Callithrix jacchus: one gene and its partners. The protein of the gene in region 1 interacts with the protein of each later gene in a pairwise test. Links are inferred from orthologs where the notes say so. Each region holds a gene or a part of one and is shown in the gene's direction. Other genes may lie near its edges.

What was found.
Region 2: the proteins of MGAT5B (region 1) and DMRT3 interact in a two-hybrid assay, tested with the Homo sapiens proteins (2 studies listed by BioGRID). The two-hybrid records come from large-scale screens. The link is inferred for Callithrix jacchus from reciprocal best matches to the Homo sapiens genes MGAT5B and DMRT3.
Region 3: the proteins of MGAT5B (region 1) and PITX1 interact in a two-hybrid assay, tested with the Homo sapiens proteins (2 studies listed by BioGRID). The link is inferred for Callithrix jacchus from reciprocal best matches to the Homo sapiens genes MGAT5B and PITX1.

The regions. Positions count from the first base shown.
Region 1 is NC_133506.1:132,713,817-132,720,733, forward strand, and holds the start of MGAT5B (alpha-1,6-mannosylglycoprotein 6-beta-N-acetylglucosaminyltransferase B), read left to right. Parts: upstream 1-2,271; 5' UTR 2,272-2,708; coding exon 2,709-2,776; intron 2,777-3,459; exon of another isoform or gene 3,460-3,604; intron 3,605-6,235; exon of another isoform or gene 6,236-6,329; coding exon of another isoform or gene 6,330-6,430; coding exon 6,431-6,543; intron 6,544-6,917. UniProt on the Homo sapiens protein: Glycosyltransferase that acts on alpha-linked mannose of N-glycans and O-mannosyl glycans.
Region 2 is NC_133502.1:107,432,372-107,439,300, forward strand, and holds the start of DMRT3 (doublesex- and mab-3-related transcription factor 3), read left to right. Parts: upstream 1-2,761; 5' UTR 2,762-3,373; coding exon 3,374-3,827; intron 3,828-6,929. UniProt on the Homo sapiens protein: Probable transcription factor that plays a role in configuring the spinal circuits controlling stride in vertebrates.
Region 3 is NC_133503.1:33,465,422-33,472,272, reverse strand, and holds the start of PITX1 (pituitary homeobox 1), read left to right. Parts: upstream 1-2,943; 5' UTR 2,944-3,106; intron 3,107-6,851. UniProt on the Homo sapiens protein: Sequence-specific transcription factor that binds gene promoters and activates their transcription. May play a role in the development of anterior structures, and in particular, the brain and facies and in specifying the identity or structure of hindlimb.

The DNA.
Region 1 (6,917 bases):
ACTGTTTACATGGAACTTTACTGCAGACAAGAGGCCAAGGAAAGGAGACAAACTCCAAAAGGGCCAGGCAGCTGAACAGTCTGGCTCATAAAATGTCACTGGCTGGCCTGGTGTGGTGGCTCCTGCCTGTAATCCCCGCACTTTGGGAGGCCGAAGCGGGCGGGTTACTTGAGGTCAGGAGTTTGAGACCAGCCTGGCCAAACATGGCAAAACCCTGTTTCTACTAAAAATACAAAAATTAGCTGGGCATGGTGGCATGTGCCTGTAGTCCTAGCTACTCAGGAGGCTGAGGCAGAAGAATCGCTTGAACCCAGGAGGCGGAGGTTGCAGTGAGCCAAGATCATGCCATTGCACTTCCGTCTGGGTGACAGAGCAAGACTCCATCTCAGAAAATAAATTTTAAAAAAGTCACTGGCTTTCCTCTGCTCACCTCGCTTTCAGTACCCAAGCCGTCCATCAAATGGCAGAGGGGCTCCTCCACTCCAGCCTCAAAGTCCAGATCTAAGACAGTGTGACCCAGAGGAAGTGGAAAGCATCCTCCCCTATCTCCTGAATTCTGGCTTTTGTGGAGGATAGGCTACCTCCCCAGATGGCCTGCTCCAGAGGTGACCATGACTTCTAGGGAGCCCCATCTCTACCACTCAGGAAGAGGCTTCCCCTTTGGCCTAAAATGGCAACCGGGTATAAATGCAACCCGCTGAGCTTACATGAGAGAGGCGCCCAATCAGAAGGGCCATTTCATTCCTCCTGTAGATACAGCTTTGGCCTTGACATTCAGGGAGTAAATTATTGCCAGAGTTTGTGGCAGATGTAGGCACCCAGGCATGAGGTGTGATTTAGAGGCCTGGCAGAGACCTCTGCCCTCCGATATCTCCTTAGCCAACCTGCCATGATGCCCAAATTTCCTGCCACCATCCGTCACTCTTCTGCACAAAGGCACGGTCAGCATGTCCTTGTTCAATGCAAATTTGTTACCTAGCTGGTGTAACACATCCTTCTGCTAAGACCAATTTATCACCCGTTTTCACATTAGCAGGGAGCAAGGCAGTGAGATAATGGAACTCAGCACAGGTCAATTTTGATGAAGAAGGAGCAGGAAAAGCAGAGAGCATGAGTCACCGCCAGTAAAAAATGGCCCAGGAAGGGGACAGGGAGGTGGGCGGGGCAGGCGACAAGGAGACTGGGCATGGGGGATTGGAGGGGACCAGGACCAGGTGGAGGAAAAGAAAGTCCCCTCCTTTCATAAGCCAGGCTGCCCCATCAGAGCCTGAGCTGGGAAAAGCCTCAGTCATTTGACACATGACTGAGGCTTTGGGCACTTCCCAGGGTGGGGTGGTCAGGTCTGGCCTCGGGAAGTGCTTTTGAAGCCAGAGAGCTTTCTTCAGACTGGCCCTGCGAGCTCCCAAGAGCCTCTGTCCATCTCTGCAACTGCAAACTTATTCCAAATCTAGGAAGGGTGAGGAGAGGGGAGGGGAGGACGCCTAGATGCTAAGAGACCACATGAGATCCTACATGTTTAGGGTTGTAAGGGGCCTTGGTGAGCTTCTGGTCCAATCATTTCATAGTGGAGACTCTGAGATGTGCACACTTGATTGCCCACTGACTGGTGGAGGATCTGGGGCTAGAACTCAGTGCGCCCCTGCGCCTGGCTCTGTGAGTAGGCCCCGGCGCCACAGGCCGAGTTAAGCAAAGAAGATCAGTAAGCAAAGAAGAGCCACGGGAATTTCTGATCAGGGAGGGACAGAAGATGGGCGGGTGTCGCCAAGTGAAATCCCATCGGTGGGAAGCGGCTGGTGCGGAAGCCCGTGGGGGCACCTGGCGGAAGAGAAGGGTCTCCGCTGGGCGCGCATCTCCTCTGTGCTCTACGGAAGCCAAAGCGGCTTTTGGCCCTCGGGGCTGATGGCGCCCGGGGAAGTTGCTTGGCTCAGGGGGAGGAGCAGGGACCCCCGCCCGCCGTTCCCCAAGCAGGTCCTCCGCGCCCCAGCCCTGCACAGCTCCGGGCAGGGCGCACAGCGAGGCTGCGGCCACGAGATGGCGCCGGCGCGTCTTAGAAGCGCCGCAGCCGCTCCCGGGCCGCCCCAGCGCCGCTCGGCCGCCTCCTCCGAGGAACAATGCGGCGCCTCCCGGCGTAGCGCGGCGCGGGGCTGGACGCCGGACACCCTAGCGCGGGCAGCGGAGCGGGCGGGCGAGCGGGCGGCGGGTGCGGGCTGCCTCCGTCGAGAGCCATGGGCGCAGCGCTGCGCGGGGCCGAGGATCCGCGCGGCCCGGAGGCGCGGGGGGCGGGGGCGCGGGCCCGGGGCCGCCTCTAGCCGGCACGTAGGGCGCGGGGCCGGGAATGAGGGCGCCCGCCGCGGGGATCCCGTCTGCGCGCCGCGGCACTGTCCCGCCCAACGAGCGAGCCGGAGCAGGCAGACGCGCGGCCGGTGGTCTGGGGGCGCGCCGCCTCCCGGCCCCCAAAATGTGAAGCGGGGAGGGCGGAGACGCAGAGACGGCCGGGCCGGGCGCCCTCGCCGCCCTCCGGCAGCCGCGCTGCTCCCTCCGCTGCCCGCCCAGGCCCGAACAGCGAGGCCACCCGGCCGCGCGCCCCCAGCTTCGTTCTGAAGCGGCTTCGGCCAGCAGAGGGTTCGCGGCTAGGACGCGGCGGGAGCCGGGCCCAGGACGGTGCGTCCGGCCTCGCCTGTGGCTCTTCGCCCAGACAAGTTTGAACAATGATCACCGTCAACCCTGATGGGAAGATAATGGTCAGAAGATGCCTGGTCACCCTGAGACCCTTTCGGTAAAGTTCCCTTCTGGTTGATCTTTTCCCCCGGGGGGCGCGGGGTGGAGGCGGGCGAGGTCGGTTCCTGAGAGGGTGGAAGCCCCGATGGCAGAGGGGGCGGTTCAACCCTTGGCGATGACCAGTGGGACTGGGCTGGGGACACGAATGGGGTTGGGACTTGGGGTGCGGGTGGGGAGGGGTGTGTTATTCTGGTACCTGTCCTGAGTTGGGCAGGGTCGGAGAGGACTCGGGGGCGGAAGTGAGAATGGGGGCAGAAAACACCTGCGTGTTGGTGGTGGTCCTGGGCCCAGAAAGTCGCCCCAGCCTGCGCACCTCTTCCCAGCCCCTCGGGGTCCGTCCTCACCCGGTGGACTGTCCCATCCGGGCGGCAAAGTTAGTGCGCAGCGCCCCGTAGCTCCCCCTCTGGTCCCTCCCGTCCTGCCCGTCCGCCCCTAGGTCGCTCCCCCCACAACCTCCCTGCCTGTGCTACCCTCTTCCCCACTTTTGGTGGCACTGCCCTCCCCCCGCGGGGCTCTGGCCTGGCTCTGACCAGAGGGTCCCGAGATGAGGGCGAGGACCCCCTAATCCCGGGATTCGCCTCCCGACCGCAGGTGTTGTAGAGGCGGGAGCAGGGGCGGTGCTGCGGGGCTGGGGGGGCGGCGGGCGCTGGGGCTGAGGAGACCGCAGCCCCCTCTCCTCCCAGGCACCCGCGGAGCCTTCCTGTAGCGGGATGGGAAGCGGGCGCTGCCTGGTGGGCGCCCGGCGGGGCCCTGGGTAGCTGGATAGCCAGGACGCTGAGGGAGTGGCAGCCCCGACGTAGGGGCCGGACTCGGGACGCCGCCACAGGTGGGGTCCGGGTGCGGGACGGAGCTTGCGAGGGTGGAGCTGGCAGGGAGCCTGAACCCCTCAGGCCGCGGCCGGAGCCCGCCGAGCCCCGCTGTAGTCTTCCCAGAGGGCGATGGGGGCGGGGAGACGGTGGCTCACCTGGCGCCCGCCTCCCAGCACACCGGGCCTGTGTGCTGGGCCGAAGAGGCAGCCCTCAGAGACGGCAGGAGTTAGGCTAGACCGCAGCGGTCCGGGGGTGCAGGAGGCCGGGAGAGCTGGGGCAGGCCCTGGGCAGTGATGGGAGCGTTGGGAGCCCATGAGAAGCAGGGCGGGAAGCAGGCGTCTCTGGAAAGGGCCTTGCTCCTCCAGGGAAGCCCTTGAATCCCTGGCCTGACTGGGAACACTGGAGGATCTTCGCCCCTTCTTCCCCCCACCCCCGACCCCCGACCCCTTGCCGGTCCCGCCCTCCTGACCGCTGGGTGTTCCTGGAGCGATTGGAAGCAGCCGTGGGACGCCAGCACCACGGACAGCGCTCGCGCCCCAGAGCGGCTTCCTTGTCTGGTCTTGCCCTGGTTTTTTTCAGGCCCTTATCGGAAGGCAGGATTGGGGTGGAGCTGCACGGGTCGCCAGAGTTGTGTAACTTCACCCCAGGGTGTCCCTGGGCTGCCCAGAGACCCGCAGTCATCAGTGAGTCCCTTCAGTTGAGGGGGGCAGGCTCCAGTCACAGTACCCCAGCTTGTTCATCCTCAAAGGCAGGCTGGGGTCCTGATCCCTCTGGTTTTCCCAGGGCTGCTGACAGCGTCTTCATTCCATAGGTGCCCCTGGAATATTGCTTGAGTGGATACATGGATGGCTGAAGCCATTTTAACTTGAATCCACTCCAAATGGTCCCCAGCTGCCTTGGGGGACACTGAACCCCAGGATGGAGGGCATGATGGCAGAGGGAGATGCAGATTAGGTGTGCTGGGGGCTTCAGGTTCTGAGCTGAAGAGGGCAGACACCTTTCTCATAGCAGGGTTGTTGGACCCTGGCAGGCAGCCCAGGTCCCCAGCTCTAAATACAACTCCCTGGCTGGGGAAGAGACCGGGGCGGGGGGGTGAGGTACTAGAGACAGGAGTGGGGGAAGTCTGTCCTTGTCCTTAGACTGGGAGGACAAATAGCTTATTTCCCCTGGGATCTCCCTGGGCACAGGACAGCACCTCTCTTACGCCGTTGCCGTGGCTGCTGTCTGCAGAACCACCTGACTTCCTCCAAGGGACCCCAAGATCTGAGCCACAGCCCCAGGTTTGGTGGAATTCAGCAAGGCATCCCTCTGCACCTAGGGAAGTGTCCCTTATGCAGTCTCGGCTACTGAATCACGTCTCCTGTCCTCCCTCTTGGGGGTGTGGTCTTCGAGTCTCTCCTTGGGGAAGCTCCCAAGGCCCTCTCTGCTTTTGGGTTCTCTTCCTCCCTGCCCAAATCTCTTAACAGCTTCCTTTAAATATGGGCTGGGATTTTGTTGTGCTTTTTATTTTCTTCTGCAATTGTGTGTTTTCTTTAATGGACCAAATTTTAATTAAATACTGCTCTGCCAATTTCAAATAATGAATATTAAAATGCATAAAACAAGTCTTGTGTAAAGATACAAACAAGCGTGGAACTGGAGGGCGGGGAGTGGAGGGGCGAGGCCCAGGGGTCTCTGGCATGACATGTGGGGCTCTTTCCGGGTAGCCTGGCTCCACACAAGATGGGGTTCCTCGCCCTGATCTGGGGTTGGTGGGAGGGTGCCCCTTTCAGCTCTGCCAGTTCATCAAGTCCTCTGATTGGTTCAAGGTCCCAGAGGAGCCCCAAGGCTGTGCTGCTGAGCTCAGTGCTCCTGTTTTGGGCCTAGGATTGATGAGGGAAGCAGCAGAACTCTGGGTCTGGGCTTGAGGGAGGGAGGGTTCTGTGCCTCGTTCCCTCCTGTACCCCTGGGGTTACCCCAGAGCCTGGATCCTCGTAGATAATCCACAACTCCGTGTTGAAAGCATGAACAAGAGAGTCCTGTTCTGGCCAGGACAGCACACACACCTGTCACACAGGTGTGAGGGCACAGGTGTAAGGACACCCTGGCCAGTCCATGGTTCAGGCTGATGACCCTGTGTGCACCTGCCTAGGAGAGATGTGTGTTGGGGGGATCGTGGGCACGGGGCCGTGTGGCCCTGCCATGGAGATCTTACCATCTAGTAGTGGACATGGATGATGGTGTCCAAGCGACCTCATGACTGCTGCAGCAAGGCCCCTGCACAGCACCCAGGGTGGCCTGGGTGATTGATGGGATCCAGGTTGGCCTTGCCTGGACCAATTCCTTGCCCTCTGGCTGGCATCGGGCCCTGCTGTGTCCATCACTGGTTCTCAAACTTCAGCATGCAGTGGAATCTTCAGGAGACTTTGCTTAAACAGCTTGCTTGCCCCATCCCCAGAGTGTCTGATTCAGTCATTTGGGGTCTGGACTTGGCACTGGCATTTCCAAGGATTCTCAGGTGATGCCAGCGGCTGGTCTGGGGACCACACTTTGAGGACTGCAGCTGTTAATGAACCAGCTCTGCCTGGAGGCTAGAGCCCGCCTGCCTCACGCCTAAGTGTGCGTCATTCTGCCTCGTGGTTTTCCGTGTGGCTGTGGGCCAGCTCCCTGTAGTCGAGCTCTCTTTATCCTATAGTGAGGGGAGCCCTCCTGGGCCTGGGAGCTCAGCCCCTACCCTTTCGTTCTCCCTTGCCTCCTTCACTCATGTACTCACTCATAAAGCATTTGTGCAGTGCGTACTTGGTGGAGCGCTGGGGCATGATGGTGCTGCCTGCCCTTCTGACATGCTTCCTTCCTCTCTGCAGGCTTTTTGTCCTGGGCATCGGCTTCTTCACTCTCTGTTTCCTGATGACCTCTCTAGGAGGCCAGTTCTCCACCCGGCGCCTGGGGGACTCGCCATTCACCATCCGCACAGAAGGTACCTTGGTGGGGTAAGGGGAGTGTGAGATGAGTGAGGGTGTTTGTGGGTCAAAGAGGAAGTGCCTCTGAGCCTAGCCCTGTTCCTGGCTTTCTGGCCACCCTGTAGATGGATGTGAGTGGTGGGGTCCTGGGCTTGGGCTGTATGACCCTCAGTGTGCTTTGGCTCTGGTCTGGCAGTGATGATCAGGCCTCCTCTGGCCTGGATTCTCAGGCCAGGCTGGGGCCTTTAAGCCAGCATCTCCCGGGGCTCAGAAGAGGCTGCCAGTGTCGCTTCTTTAGTTGGGTGTCGGGGGTAAGAGGTCTCTGGATATGACATCTGTCTCTTTGAGGCATGCATATCCTCGCCTTTGGCCCAGCCTGTGGCCACAGTAG
Region 2 (6,929 bases), on another chromosome or scaffold:
GGGACAATCGGAAATTGTCGTTTTGATTACGTGTTAGTTGGATGAGGAGCACCTACCAGAACTCCCAGATCTGGAGTCAGAAAATCCTCACTTTCTCAGCAAGGGCACCTGCATCCTGAGCTTTTACATATACACACACCCAGCGACATTTCGTGCTGAGAAAGACCCACAGATGCACATTATTTTTCCCTTTTCCACTGTTATCTGCCACAGTTCTACTCAGTTAATTGCGGTTTGAGAACACACACCATCCAGAGAGCACCAGTGGATCTAACCAAGTGAGGTTACATTTACTTGTAATCCTCCCCCTTCCCTTTCCACTTTCTTTGATGATTTTTCCCATACGTGTGTAAGCTACGGGGACTTAGTAGAAGCAGGCCGCTCCTCCTAAATGTGATTTGGACCATATGCTTTCTACATTCATTCCCGCTCCAGCTTTTCTTCTCTGCACTAACTGCTAACACGTTATAGTCACCTTGAAATTTCCTCTGCTATTTTCCAATTAAAAGCTTAATAGCCCTGGAAACGGAGTTCATGTGGTGAAGTTTACCATAGCCCCTTGTTCTGAAAGGCTTTCTGCTGGGATCCCATTATGTGCTTGAATAAACCCTTTCTGCAAACAGAAATGGGACTCGGGGTTGTCAGGTGTTGGGTTACAATAGACTTTGAGGCAGGGGACATTTTACCAACATAAATACAAACCTGTCCCTATAGGGAGATGTTGTCAAATACTGGGATATGGAAAACATTCCCATCAAATATGAGAAAAGGATTACTGCACTATATCAAATGAGTATTTAGATCTCAGCCCCCGATGTGCACCGGAGTGAAACGGGCCCCCGGGACCAAATAATGCCAGACTGTTTGAGTGGCAAGGAGTTAGGGTGGCTAGGTGACCTAGGGAGGAACGGGAAAGAGGGGTCGCCTTGGTAGTGAGAATGCCCCCACAAACCTGGTGCAGAGCTCTTCTGCTTTCCTTTTAAAAATTTATTCATGCTCAAGTTCTTTCTACTCCCTCGTTTCATTGACCATTTGAAGAAAATCGGAAGAAATTTGGTTTTGAAAAAAGTCGTCGATCCCCACGTTTCCAAGAGACCTGGAGGTTTCAGCGCGATAGTTTTCAGATAAGGTGTCATTCGTGGCCCTCTACACCTCAGCGCGTTAAATGACTCGCGTCCAGCTCCTCACTTCCTAGCCTCAGGCCTATAGGGCTGCGGGCGATCTCTGCCTCCTGTTCCCAGAGCTTACGAAATTTCTTCCAGTTGTGCTTTAGGGCTTGTTTTCCTAGAGAAGGCTGAGACTAGAGGAAGGATTAAAGTGGTGGGGGAAGGGGCAAGACCGAGGGGTCCCTACCCCACGCGGCTTTGGAGGATGGCCTCCCACTCAAATGCTGGGGCTTCTTGTCCACACTCCAGGTCAGTCTCCCGCGATCCCCATCTCACGGACGTGTATGATACGGGACAGCTAAAGGCTTCAAGGGAAACACTCAACCGGGTTCGGTTTTAAACCCTCCTCTCCTCCGCGAATCAACCTTCTAGGCAAAGGGTTGGCTGCTAGAACGCCTGGAAGTGCTTCCCTTGAATTCACAGCAAACACCAGAGGAACGTTTTCGGGTTGTCTGCTTACTTCCAGGGCAGTACGGAGAAAAGGAAGAAAAGCGGCCTCCCGGAGGGACAAGGGCCTCTGTGCCCACGAGGGGTCCGGCATTGCAGCGGACTTGCCCGCTTTCATCTAGCATTCGATTCCCCGCCAGATGAGCTTGGTGCAAACACTCTTAGAAGCGTACCCACCGAAGGCTCTGGAACTGCCCCGCTTGGCATAGAGCTATTGGGCTGTCCCGCTCCCAGTGTATCCACCTGTTTTTTGTTTTTTTTGTTTGTTGATGGGCAAGGGGGAGGCGCGAGGGGGTGGGCCTTCCTTGTGCATATATAGCGATAGTCTGCACTAGGCCAAACCGGCTACTCTTGGGAGAATGGGAAAACACAAATAATCTAATCGAAGTTTTCTGCTGTCATCTTGTGCAAGGACCCTCTCCCCCAAGACATCTATGACTGGGGTCTGTGGGTTAAGGGGTCAAAAGTGGCCCTATTCCATATCCATAATTAAATCACAGAATCTTTGGGGATTTTAATTGAGTGGCTGGCTCCAGACCTGCGTTTGCCCCCAGTGGCTGCTGGGAGAGAGGGAAGAGATAAACTTGGGGGCGCTAATGTGGCTTCTGCGTCTGCTCCTTGAAAGTTTATACCTGGCGCTTAGCAAATTCTTTCCGGGAGCATGTATGTCCCTGACCTTTCAGGATATTGTTTTATATTAAAACATGGAGAGGAGGGTAGAAAAGTAAAATTTGCCTGCCCCCAAAAAAAGGGGGGGTGGTCATCCTTGGGCCGGCAGAGCTCCACATACATTTTTTCCAAAGCAACAAAAGATAAAAAAAAAAAATACGTTTTAAAAGGAAATTAAGAAAAGAGCTTAACGTTCCCAAATCAACATCACTCCAATCCCCTATCCTAAACTCCACCCAGGTCTGTGATGCACCCCCAACACTCCCGTAGGTTCGGGTTCTCCCGGAGCTGAGTTTCTACGGCCAAATGTCGGGATAAAAGCTGCCTAGGGCTCGGAAAAACGCAGCCACAGGAGGACTGAAGGGAGGAGAAGAGAGAGAAGGGGAGCGGCCACCTCACTCCCTTACATGGACCCCCACCCTCACTCTCGCTGGTCCTCCCCTTCTCCGCCCCACGAGCACGCCGCGTTCCGGAGCGCTGCAGTCTCCCGCTGCAGGCTCGGGTGACGGAGAGGACTTGGAGGAGGGGGCCGTGAGCGCCCCCGCGAGCGTGGCCCGGCTGCAGGTGGCCAGGAAGGTGAAGTGCAGGGACCTGAGGGGAGCAAAGGAGGAGAAAGGCGTGGGGCGGGGAGTGCAAGGAGACCGGGACCCCAGGGGTGGGGGTGACGGTGGTGGTGGGAAGGAGGAGGGGTTCGAGGAGGGCAGCGGAGGAGGTGCTGAGTCCGGCCAGCGCGCAAGGGAGCTGCAGACGAGCTGGTTCAGACCTTAATCAGAGCTTTCGCCCGCTCCTTGCAGCCGCCGCTGCCCCTTAGCAAGGGAGGACGTGCCGACTCGGCTGTGCGCCCAAAGCAGCGGCCCGCGTTGGGGGTTGGCTGGGCGCGAGCCGGGAGGCCGAGCTGTGAGCGCCGAGGGAGCTGGAAAGACGGCTGCGGCACCTCCGGCCGTTCCGGGGCACGCCCAACCGCCGGCGCTACTGGACCAAGGGTCGCGCCGCCCGGAGGCAGCCCCTGAGCGTGCCTCGCAACCCCGCCGTCCAGCGCTCCCTGGCCCGCTCCGGCCTCCAGCCCGCCAACTCATCCGGGAGCCTGGGGCATGAACGGCTACGGCTCCCCCTACCTGTACATGGGCGGCCCGGTGTCGCAGCCGCCGCGGGCGCCCCTGCAGCGCACGCCCAAGTGCGCGCGCTGCCGCAACCACGGTGTGCTCTCCTGGCTCAAGGGCCACAAGCGTTACTGCCGCTTCAAGGACTGCACCTGCGAGAAGTGCATCCTCATCATCGAGCGGCAGAGGGTCATGGCGGCGCAGGTGGCGCTGCGCCGGCAGCAAGCCAACGAGAGCCTGGAGAGCCTCATCCCGGACTCGCTACGCGCACTGCCCGGGCCCCCGCCGCCCGGGGACGCAGCCACCGCCCCGCAGCCGCCGCCGGCCTCTCAGCCGTCTCAGCCGCCGCCGCCGCGCCCTGCTGCCGAGTTGGCCGCGGCCGCCGCTCTGCGCTGGACCTCCGAGCCGCAGCCCGGGGCTCTGCAGGCGCAGCTCGCCAAGCCAGGTAAGAGTGTCTGCGGTGCGGGAGTTTGGACGGGCGCTTGGGCAACTTCGGAGTGCCTGCTGCAGCTCCTCCTGGGAGGCCTGGAGGCAAGGTTTTGGGAAGTGGGACTGGCGGAGCTTTACTTCCTACCCTCCGACAGGCCGGTGTTTCCTCTCCCGGGAGAAGCCGGCTGAGTCTGGACCCAGCGCGGGTGGCACTTGCGCCCGCCGGGAAGGCGCCTCCGGGGAGCCACACCACGGGACTGTGCATCAGGGTCGCCAGGTGCCTTCCCCAGGTTAAAGGGGAATGTGTCAGATTGAGCAGGGAGATAAACGGAGTCGAGACGGGGCCAAATTAAAACGCAGGCGGGCACACTGCCCTACGTGGGGCAGAGTTTTCTGGGCTGCGGGTTTTAGAGGGCCTCGAATTTGGGGGTTGGAATGGTTAGGTGTAGGGAATGAGCCAAGACCCAGCCCTGGCTGACTCTGAGCTGCTTGTGCTTCTGGGCCTTGCCCCGCCCAGCCGGCCCGACCCAACCTGGCCCAGCCCAGGGCCCAGGAAAATTTGAGTGGGGACGAGCATTCCAACTCTGAGAACCCATTGCCTTTCTAGCTTTGCCCCATGCCCTTTCTAACTTTGCTCCGTGGCCTCCAGACTATTGTAATTGGTGAAAAGTTCCATTTAGCAATGACCGTAAAAAGGTCCCGAAAGGCTCCTGAGCTGATAGGGGGACCAAGAATCTGGTGGGCCAGAATTCACTCCTTTGCAGAACCTCCTAGATCCTTTAACACTGTTCCCCAGGCTGCCCTCAGCTGTCTTCGTGGTTTAAAGAGATAAAAAACAAAATCTGATCCCCCACCACCCATCTGTTTCTCTCCTCCAGGCCTCCTGAGCTTGGCAGGCCTGAGTTGGGCCTCTTAGTCTCTCTCCTCCTGGGGAATTTCTAGCTTGCGGTTCTGCCCAGCCCTAGAGCCCTTCTGATGGCTCTTGAAATTCAGCAGACATGTGTTTGGTGTTTCTCTGGGTCAAATGCACAAAGGAAAACGGCCCACCTTCTCCCAGAAGAAGGCATGCTGGAATTAGGAGTGGGAAAGTCCAGAGCCCTCCTGTAGGTAGAACTGTGGTAAAGCTGGTACCTACACTGACATGCCAACTCCCTAAAGACAGTACCCTAGCTTCTGGAGAGAGGCTTTCAGGAGCACTGGACTGCTTTGTCTGGATCCTGTGCAGCTGGGGAAATGATGCAGACTCACCTGTTTTGTGGTGAGTTGACGGGTGGCTGGCAGGTCCAGTTCTTCTGCCCTTTCAGTCATGCTATCCAGGCCCGAAGCTCTGAGAACAAACAGCCTGTGTGAGAGAAGAGCTGGGAATTTTAAAGATGGAAGAGAGTTTGCTGAACTTGAATTTTGTGGATATTTAATCCAAGTTAGCATATAAACATTTCTCAGGAATGCTCACCAGTCCTCTCTTTTGTCTGTCTCATCTTTTTATATTTATGAATTTGCCACAGAGGAATGAGAGGAGGAGAAAAAGGTTTTAGTGTTTTTTTTTTTTTTCTCCCATAGGTTTGAACAAGTAACTAGGAGGAGTTTGGTCTCAGCTCTAGAAGTGGATTTGTACCAATATATTTTCTTAATTTTTTTCCATTTCCTGCTTCTCTGGTTCCGTTTCCCCGAGGACTAGGGCAGAGGTCTGAGTTAATATCAGAGGTGGCGTTTTGCCGTGGCCACCTGCCCAGCAGCATTCATGTGATAGGGCATTGGGTTCTGTGGTCTCTGTCCAAGGGGATTCCTTTCACATCCTGTGTTCTTCAGAGTGTTCTTTGGGATAGCCAAAGCTCATGATTTCTAAAGAGTCACAAAACTAAAAACACAACCCCAGGAGGAGGAGGAGGAGTAAGGGCAGGCAGGACGGCGGAGTAGCAGCTGCAGCAGCGGCAGCAGGATACATGCTTTAGGAGAATAGAAAAAGGAAACGGATTTCAACTGGACAAACCAGAGCTGTGCTCTCTGTTTGACTCCTACCTAATACTGAGGGATAGCCTGAGCCTTCCAAATTGAAAACAGGTAATTGCAAAAGAGAATAGGATTTATCACAAGGAGAGGTCAAAGTGATGACTTTGGGGGACTGAGGCATCAGGGGGCTCAGATTCCAGCTAGTCGCCCCCACCCCATACCTTGCATATTGATGTACACAACTTTTGTTTTCTTCTTTCAATTGATTTGACCCCATAATTCATTTTTTTGAAAAAGCCAATCACTATCTGATGGGGAATGGGGAGAAAGGTAGGACAATAATAGATAATTGTTTAGGAAGACATACAAGTGGATCCATTCTACGCAGTGCTTGTAAGAATAAATTCCATTTGGGGTTTAAGTTGGAGACAACTGCCCACTGAGACTGCCTGTTGCTATAGGTATTATACCCTTTTTGCAGTTGTTCTGATAATGTATTTGTGTATAACATTCCATGTGTATTTAGAAGGATGTCAGAACTACTCCTGGATAAGTAGTTCACTATATGTAGAGAGTAAGCAAATCTCTATTGGAATTGTAGGTCCACATGTACATTAAGTAGACAGACCAGCAGAAATCTTTAAATATCTGCTGGCAGTGTAGATCTATTACTTGGTGAACTTTGATTTTAAAATGTGGTTGGTCTTTTTGCAGGGCAAAGGGCCTCTTTAGTACATAGCTGTGGAGAGAGAATTTTTTTTTTCTTGTATACAAAAGCACATGGAGTCTTTCCTCTCAAGAATCTTTGAGAAAAGCACATGCCTTAAGAAAGTGTATGTTTGCTGTGAATCACTGGAGAAAAACCACCATTTAGGGAGTGAGGTATTCACATCAAAACTCAGTTTTGTAACGAAGAAATTTTTTTTACATTTTGCTTTAGATTCTTTAAAGAACTGGGGTTATTTTATCTAATGGTGTAGTATGTTGAACATCCCTTTCAATGTGTGGTGTTTTTAAGGACAATTTTCGTATTCTAGTGGCTTTTACTTCTAGTTATGAAGTTTTCTTTTTTCTTTTGAATGTAGATTTCTCCTGCTCTTTGATTACCATGTATGATGCACCTGGAATTAATTATTAGCTTTTGATTGAGCCCAACATTTTGATTTAA
Region 3 (6,851 bases), on another chromosome or scaffold:
GGTCCTATAGTTGTTGCCAAAAAAGGCTCAGCCCTGTTCTCAAGAAGCTTACAACTGGTAAGGGCAACAGGCTTTCGTCTATCATTATACAAAATTTCATTTCAATAGTTGCAATTAGAACTGTGAAGGAAAAGAATACTCTCCCTAATTTTACTTGGTATTAAGATTTAAAAAAAAAATAACACTGCCTGAAGAAGTGTTATGGCCTCTGTATAACAGTGGCTGCAAACATTTGCCCATTATGTGAACCCATGTGACAAATTCATCAGAGGATTTTGCACTAGGGAGAAAAATTTCTGTTAGAGAAAGCACATCAGTTTGGACTGAAAGACAAAGAAAATTCATCAGCCAATTCCGCTGAGCTTTTTTGATGGGGCACCTGGAGGCTGAGAGCTAAAGTGATATTCAGGAACAGAGACTGCTACTTCTGTTCCTGGTGAATCCTGCTCCAAACTTCCTCTCTCTCTCTGATTCCTTGATTCCACTGTGCCAAGATGTCTGCTCCCAAAGATGTCAAAACTAAAGGGAAATTGCAAAATATATATATTTTTATAGAAGGGAAAGTAAGATTATAAAAAGTGTGTTTTATCCCGCCCCCCTCAAGTTCCACTAAGAACTTCCTGACTTCCAGTCCCAGGGTGGGGTTGTGCCCCACCCACCAGCCTGCCCTGCTTTCCTGGACCAAAACTTCCTAGCAGCTAAGCAGGGAATAAGGGCAGATAAACTAAACCAGCAAAGGAATCTGTTTCTGCTAGACTCAACTAACATGACCACCATGGGGAAAGTATCTAAACAAAATAAGAGCAAACTCTCTTAAAGAGCAACCTGGTGGCTTTGCCATTCGCTTTCAGCCACTCTATACACAGGACTCAGGGCCAAGCCCCTTACCATCATCATCTCATCCATTTCCCAAAGAAAGCAGCAGGAACTCTTACTCTCACATTTCACAGATGGGGAAGCTGAGGCTGGGAAAGATTATGTTATTTGCCAAAGCCACACACAACTAGTAAAAGCCACTGACAAGATTCCAGCACAGGCCATCAGATGCCAGGGGGCAGCATGTTTTGGCATCAGAGGCCCTGCCTGGGAATGAGAGCATGCAGAAAATCTCATTCGAGATGGGAACAAAACTCGGAAAATTGCTAGCATGCAGGGAGAGAGGAAGGTGTGATTTCCTGCTACAGACTTCAGAGTAAAAGCCACCCCAGGAGTGCCTGTGCAGCCCTCCATAGTAAAGGTCCAGTGGTTCCATTTATGCCAAAAGAGGCCACTGCTGCTTGGAGTATAAGGAAGTTTCCCATGACAAGGTTGGATGCGCCAGCCTTGGCTTAGCAGCACTAGGGCTGGACCCAACAAGTCTTTTTCACACAAAAAGCAGACAACAGGAGCAGGTAGAAGTTGGGGCTAAAATTCCCACAGCGCGGGGTCCAAAGACAGTAGATGCACTTTCCCCAGGCCCAGGTCTGCTAGTGCGGTCACCGGGGACTCGTTATCTTAACTTGCAACCCTGGGTGCACAGAGCTCACACACACACTGGAGAGGGGTTCCTGCTGTTGACGGTTGAAAGGAGGGTATGGAGTCCCTGGAACAGCACGACAGAGGGCAGGGGCCACCTGGCAGGGCCTGAACGCCGAGGCCTCCGTGAGCTTGGGTCGGGCAGGCTTCCCCTTTCGGAGGCTGGGGAAGGGGTCCTGGGTCTCTACGTTTCCAGGCCAAGCAGCCCTGGAGGCACGGACTAGCAGGACGCCAAGGCGGCGCGGGTCGTGGCCTCTCCCGCAGCAGCTGTTGGCGAGAACCAGGCAGGGAGGCGCCGCTGCTGACGGCACCTCATGAAACATTCAGGCCCGGCTGCCGCGCTGCCATCTCCCGGCACCTTGCTCCCGAAACTGTTGCTCTGGATCCCATGGCCGTCGGAAGGCAGGCTCGGCCGCTCCAGTTCCTGAGAGTGACAGGCCACAGCCAGACCTGCCCTGTGGTCCCATCCCAGAGTCCCAGCAGCAAGTAGGCTCAGACTGGGCACTTCAGAGTACCAAGAGTAAGTTCGGTCAATTGGTTTCCCCCACGAGACTTTGGGCACAGGGTTATCTGGCCGCGGGGCAACGCTGGGGAGCCCTGTGGCCCGAGGGTGGGCGAAGGGCAGGCTCCCAGTTCCCTTCCATCTAGCCCGTCTCCCAGTGGCAGCCAGGAACAGGCCTGCAGGGCCACAGGGGTGCAGGCGTCACCGTTCGCAAGCCCGGAGCAGGGTGGCCGCTGGGGGATGTGCAAGCACAGGGGTTGGACAAGGGGCCGCACAAGTGTCTGTCCTGAGAGGTCAGTCTCCCCTTTCCTCACCAGCCCAGGCCCTGAAGAGAGGGAAGGAGGCAATCCGCCAAGCAGGGCAGGTCGGATGGCACCCCCACACCCAAACACAGAAACCCTGGGGTCTGTCCGCCAACCTCCTGGGCTGCCACGCTCTGCGCAGGGACTCTCCCTGCCAACACGCAAAACCAGCTCCCTCCCGCAGGCTGAGCAGGAAGGAGAAAGGTCCAATCTCAAACCGTCCCCCGCAACTAGACCACCAGCCCCCGTCTAAACGGAAGTAGGGCCAGCCCTTCAAGAGTTAGGTGGGAAACTGAGCCCTGGGAAAGAAAGGGCGCCCGGGCCAGGCTGGGACCCGCTGCGGCTTCGCAGGCTGCCAGGCCCCTCCACGGAGGTCCGAGGGCGCGTTCCTCGGCCTCCAGACTCAGCTGCCAGCCGCGCGGACCCCAGCCCGCGCCCCGAGGGAGGCCGGGACCCCTAGGCGGCGGGACTGCGCGCCGCCCCTCCCCGCAGGTCCAGGCTAGCGCCTAGCTTCCCCTCCCCCCTTCCCGCCTCCCGGCGGGTGTCCCCGCCTTCCCCGCGGGCGACGGGCGGCGGCGGCGGGAGGAGCGGGCCGAGCTAAGGCAGCCCCGGCCTCGCGCTCTGGGATGTAGCGAACCAGCAGGGGCCGAAGGAACTGGCAAAGCCGGAGCCAGAGCCAGAGCCAGAGCTGGATCCCGGGCCCCAGCCGGAGCCGAAACCTGAGCCAGAGTCCGCGGCGGGCGAGCCCGGAGCAGACGAGCGGCAGACGCAGCGCTGCCCAGGTGGGGTAAGAGACGCTGGGCTAGGGGCACAGGGTCTCCGCGGTGGAGGGGAGCAGGGAGGTGGCGGCCGGCCGAGTCCTGCGCAGTTTGCTCCTGGCGTGTGTGGGTCCAGCCGGCGACACGCGACAGCGCAAGGCGCGGAAGGTCAGGAGCCTTCGAGGCAGGAGCCCGTGCGTGCGCCCAGGGCACAATCATAGCCGCCGTCACCTAACCGGTGGGATCAACCCTCCGCTTCGGCCCCGGGCACCCCAAGCGGGTAGCAGCCTCGGGGGCACGGGCCACGGCTCCGCAAAGGGCACAACCCCGTGGCAGCCCATAGCGGCGGCGCGGGAGGCAGGGCCTCCCGACCCCCAGGAGAAATGGGCAGGAGAGAGGGCCTCCCGCTGCTCCTCACTGCGTCCAGGGATGGAGGGCCCCACCACCCATGGAACTGCTGGCCCCTCTGCGTGGCCCGGGACTTCGGCCGTAGCTTCGCATCAAGAGGGTATTTTTCCTAAACGAAACCGCTTCATTCGTTCGTTCGTTCGTTCGTTCGGGCAGCAATGATAACGAAAAGCAGCAGACATCGGCCAGCGCCCTGGCTCTCTTCGCCCCGGACTCCGACGTCCCGCCTCAGCGCTCGGAGGTGCCCCCAGCCCACCGCGGCCTGCCCTCGCCGGCACAGGTCCGGCTTTTTCTTCCCATGAGAAAAACCCCAAATTCCCTTCTTAACGTCCAATAAAGACATTCCCGCGGCTTCTCCCGGGTTTGGTTGTTGACGCAGTTCCCGGAGCACGCAGCCGCTTCTCAAGAACCGGGTCTCGGACTTCTGAAATTGACCAGCTTCGTAAATTGGAGCCCATTCTCCCGCGGCAAAGGCAGGGCTCCAAAGCCAGGATGGCAGTCATGGGAACCCCAGGCTGAAATCCGGGTCCCAAGATTTTCCGATTTAGGAATTCCCTGAATCTACAACGAGTTAGTCCACTTTTCTGAAAAACTAAGACTTGTGTATTCTCTGGACATCGCTGTGACCTCTGAAAGCCACCAGGTCCAGAGGGAGGAAATCCCAGGTTGCTGTCCACTGAGGGAGGATTCAGGTCTAGGGTTCAGGTCTAGGGTAGTCAGGCCAAAAGCTACAGGCAACCGGGGCAGCACAGAAGACTTGCTGTCCCCGTGCCCTTTCATGGGGCTGCTTTGGGCTTCCCGCATCTCTGCCAAGGAAAGGAAAAGAGGTGGGCTGGGGCGCGGAGACCAGGCTGTCTGGACTATAGGATGCAGGGGCCTCCAGACAGACTCAGGGTGCTCTTCTCCCACCTAGCCGCTGGGAAGAGGAGGCTGTGGTGCATCATAACCCGCCCCTCTGCTCCCCAGTTGTGTGACCAGCTGCACCTCCTTCCTAGTCTTCTTCCCCACAGCTCAGCCATTCTCAGGATCTAGAAAACTTCTGTTGGAATTAGGTGAGAGGTGGGCCGGGAGAGCCTTCGTCCTACCAGCCGCTGGCCCACAGCACGGAGTCCTGAGTTCTGTAATCCCATCTGTGCCTCACTGGTGGCAGTCCTGCCCAAATACATCCTGGCTCTCCCAGGAACAGGCTGGGGATCCTCAATTGGCTGGAAGCCTCAGACTGGGGTCCCAGGAAGCCTAAAGGAGCCAGTGAGGTCTTTCCAGCCCCTACCTGAGCACCCTCCTCCCTGCTTATCCAGTAATTGCTGTAGTCAAAGGAACAAGAGCTTTTATTGGGGAGGGGGTGTTAGATTAGGCAGAAGAGGTAGGTGGTCTAGGCTGCACTACCAAAACTGGGTTTTCAAGTTTGAACCTCTCCACGGACTAAGAGGCTTAGGGCTGGAATGTCCCAGAGAGTCAAGGATAGCCCTGGTAGCAGGCCATGGCACATTCCTTCCTTTTTCTAAAATACCTTGATTCTCAGAGCAAGGATTAGAGCAGGGTGCCCCCAAGGGTAGGTAGAAGGATACCTCTCCATGAGAGCATCCTAACCACCCTTCCCCAATTACATTACTAAACCATTCTTGGACACAGGCTGTTTTTAGTGAGCCCGGCTTCAGGAAGGGTCCTCTTGGTGACTGCTTCAACTCCACAACAGCCCAGGCTCTTCTGTTCAGCCCAGCCAGGACCCTAAACTCCAAAGAATCACAGAATCATTGCTGACTTTGTGTGGCGAGGGATGGTGTGGGGAATAGGACACATGGTTCCAGCTCCACTAAACCCCTTTCCCTCCTCTCTTCGAGTCCCATCAGCAAGCGAGCTAGATGCTGAAGCAGCAGACAGAGTCCCATATTGGACATGGGAACTGAGGCACAGGGCAGATCAAGCCTTGATATTGAGGCAAACACAGGTCACACAGCACAGTTGGAGGAACACCAAGCCTCTTCTTACTCCTGAAAGAGTGCTGTCTTCTGTCCTGTGTATGTGATGTGTCTGTGAGTGTGCAAGAAGCCCCTGTCTTGACTGGGACAATGGCCAGTGAGAGAGTGTAGCCGGGGAAGAACAGAGAGCATGTCCAGGTCCCTTCCCCAGCCAATGCCCAGGATCAGGCCACAGCCTCCTCACTCCTTGATCACTCAGTGCTGCCCAGGCCAAGCGGGACACACTCCCCTAGCAGGCCTCACTAGCCCCATCCCCTCTTTGGGTCTCAGGTCCCCTGAGGATAGGGGCTTCACCTGAAACAGTCTGAGGGCTTTTCCATCCACACAGCAGGTAACGAGATTGCCAAATAAAGGGACTATTGTGCTTGCCTGGAGCTTGGCCAGAGGTTTGGGCCCAGAGGGGCACACAGCAGGTGCTCAATAACTGCATTAAATGCACCAGCAGTAAGGATACAGGCCCCAGACTAATCAGTGAGTGCTGCTGAGTCACAAAACAGTCCCCATCCAGGGACAGCCCAAAGAGTCACTTTGGTCCCTCCGGGAAATGAAGGGGCTGTGAGTCCCAGCCTCCTCTGGATGCCCACAGACAGACCATTCATTTCTAAGTCTCTGCTCAGAGATGCACTGTGCTTCCCACCTTGGCCTGACATGTGGTGGGTTAGAACACACCTCCTATCCCCTACCAGCCAGCGTTCATGCCAAGTAGCACATATATGCCTCAACTCAGCACTTCCATAATGCAGTGAGTGCATGTGTGTGCAGAGCATGCTGGCATGGATGTACAGGACGTGTGTGTATGTGCGCGCACGCGTGCGTGCCCCCATGCTGTATGCATGCAGGCTGTTCTATGCGGTAAGACAGCTAAAGGGAGAATGGTGTGTGAAGGGACACTCCCGAGCATGCTGCGGCACCTGAATATCTCCTTGAAAGGAGGGATCTTCTGCTGCAGGAGACTTAGCCAAGAAATGTGGTAAAGGTGGAGCTGAGGGCAAATGCTGTGCAACTGTGCTTCTCCATGTCCCCCTCCCCGTGGCCAGGACTCGTTTCATGGAGGGAGATCTCAGCTTGGAAGAAGGCAGGAGCCTCCCCAACCAAACTCCTGGGAAGTGTCCTCCCTCCGGCCTCAGACCCTGCCTCCTGTGGTCACAGATGCACAGTGAGAAAGGGTCAGGCCCTAAGGAGCTGCTGTCTCTCCCTGCCCCACAGTTGGGGGGCAAGGGGGGCTGGGGCTAACATGGAGGGAATGGAAGGCAGGCCTCGTTCCACACTGTGTGCCTGCCCCTGACCCCAGCATCCCTCACAAGAGCTCAACCTGACCCTGGGTGTCTCCCTGTGATGGGAAGGGGTAAAGCGAGGACTCAAAGGCAGAGCCTGCAGAGTGCCCCAG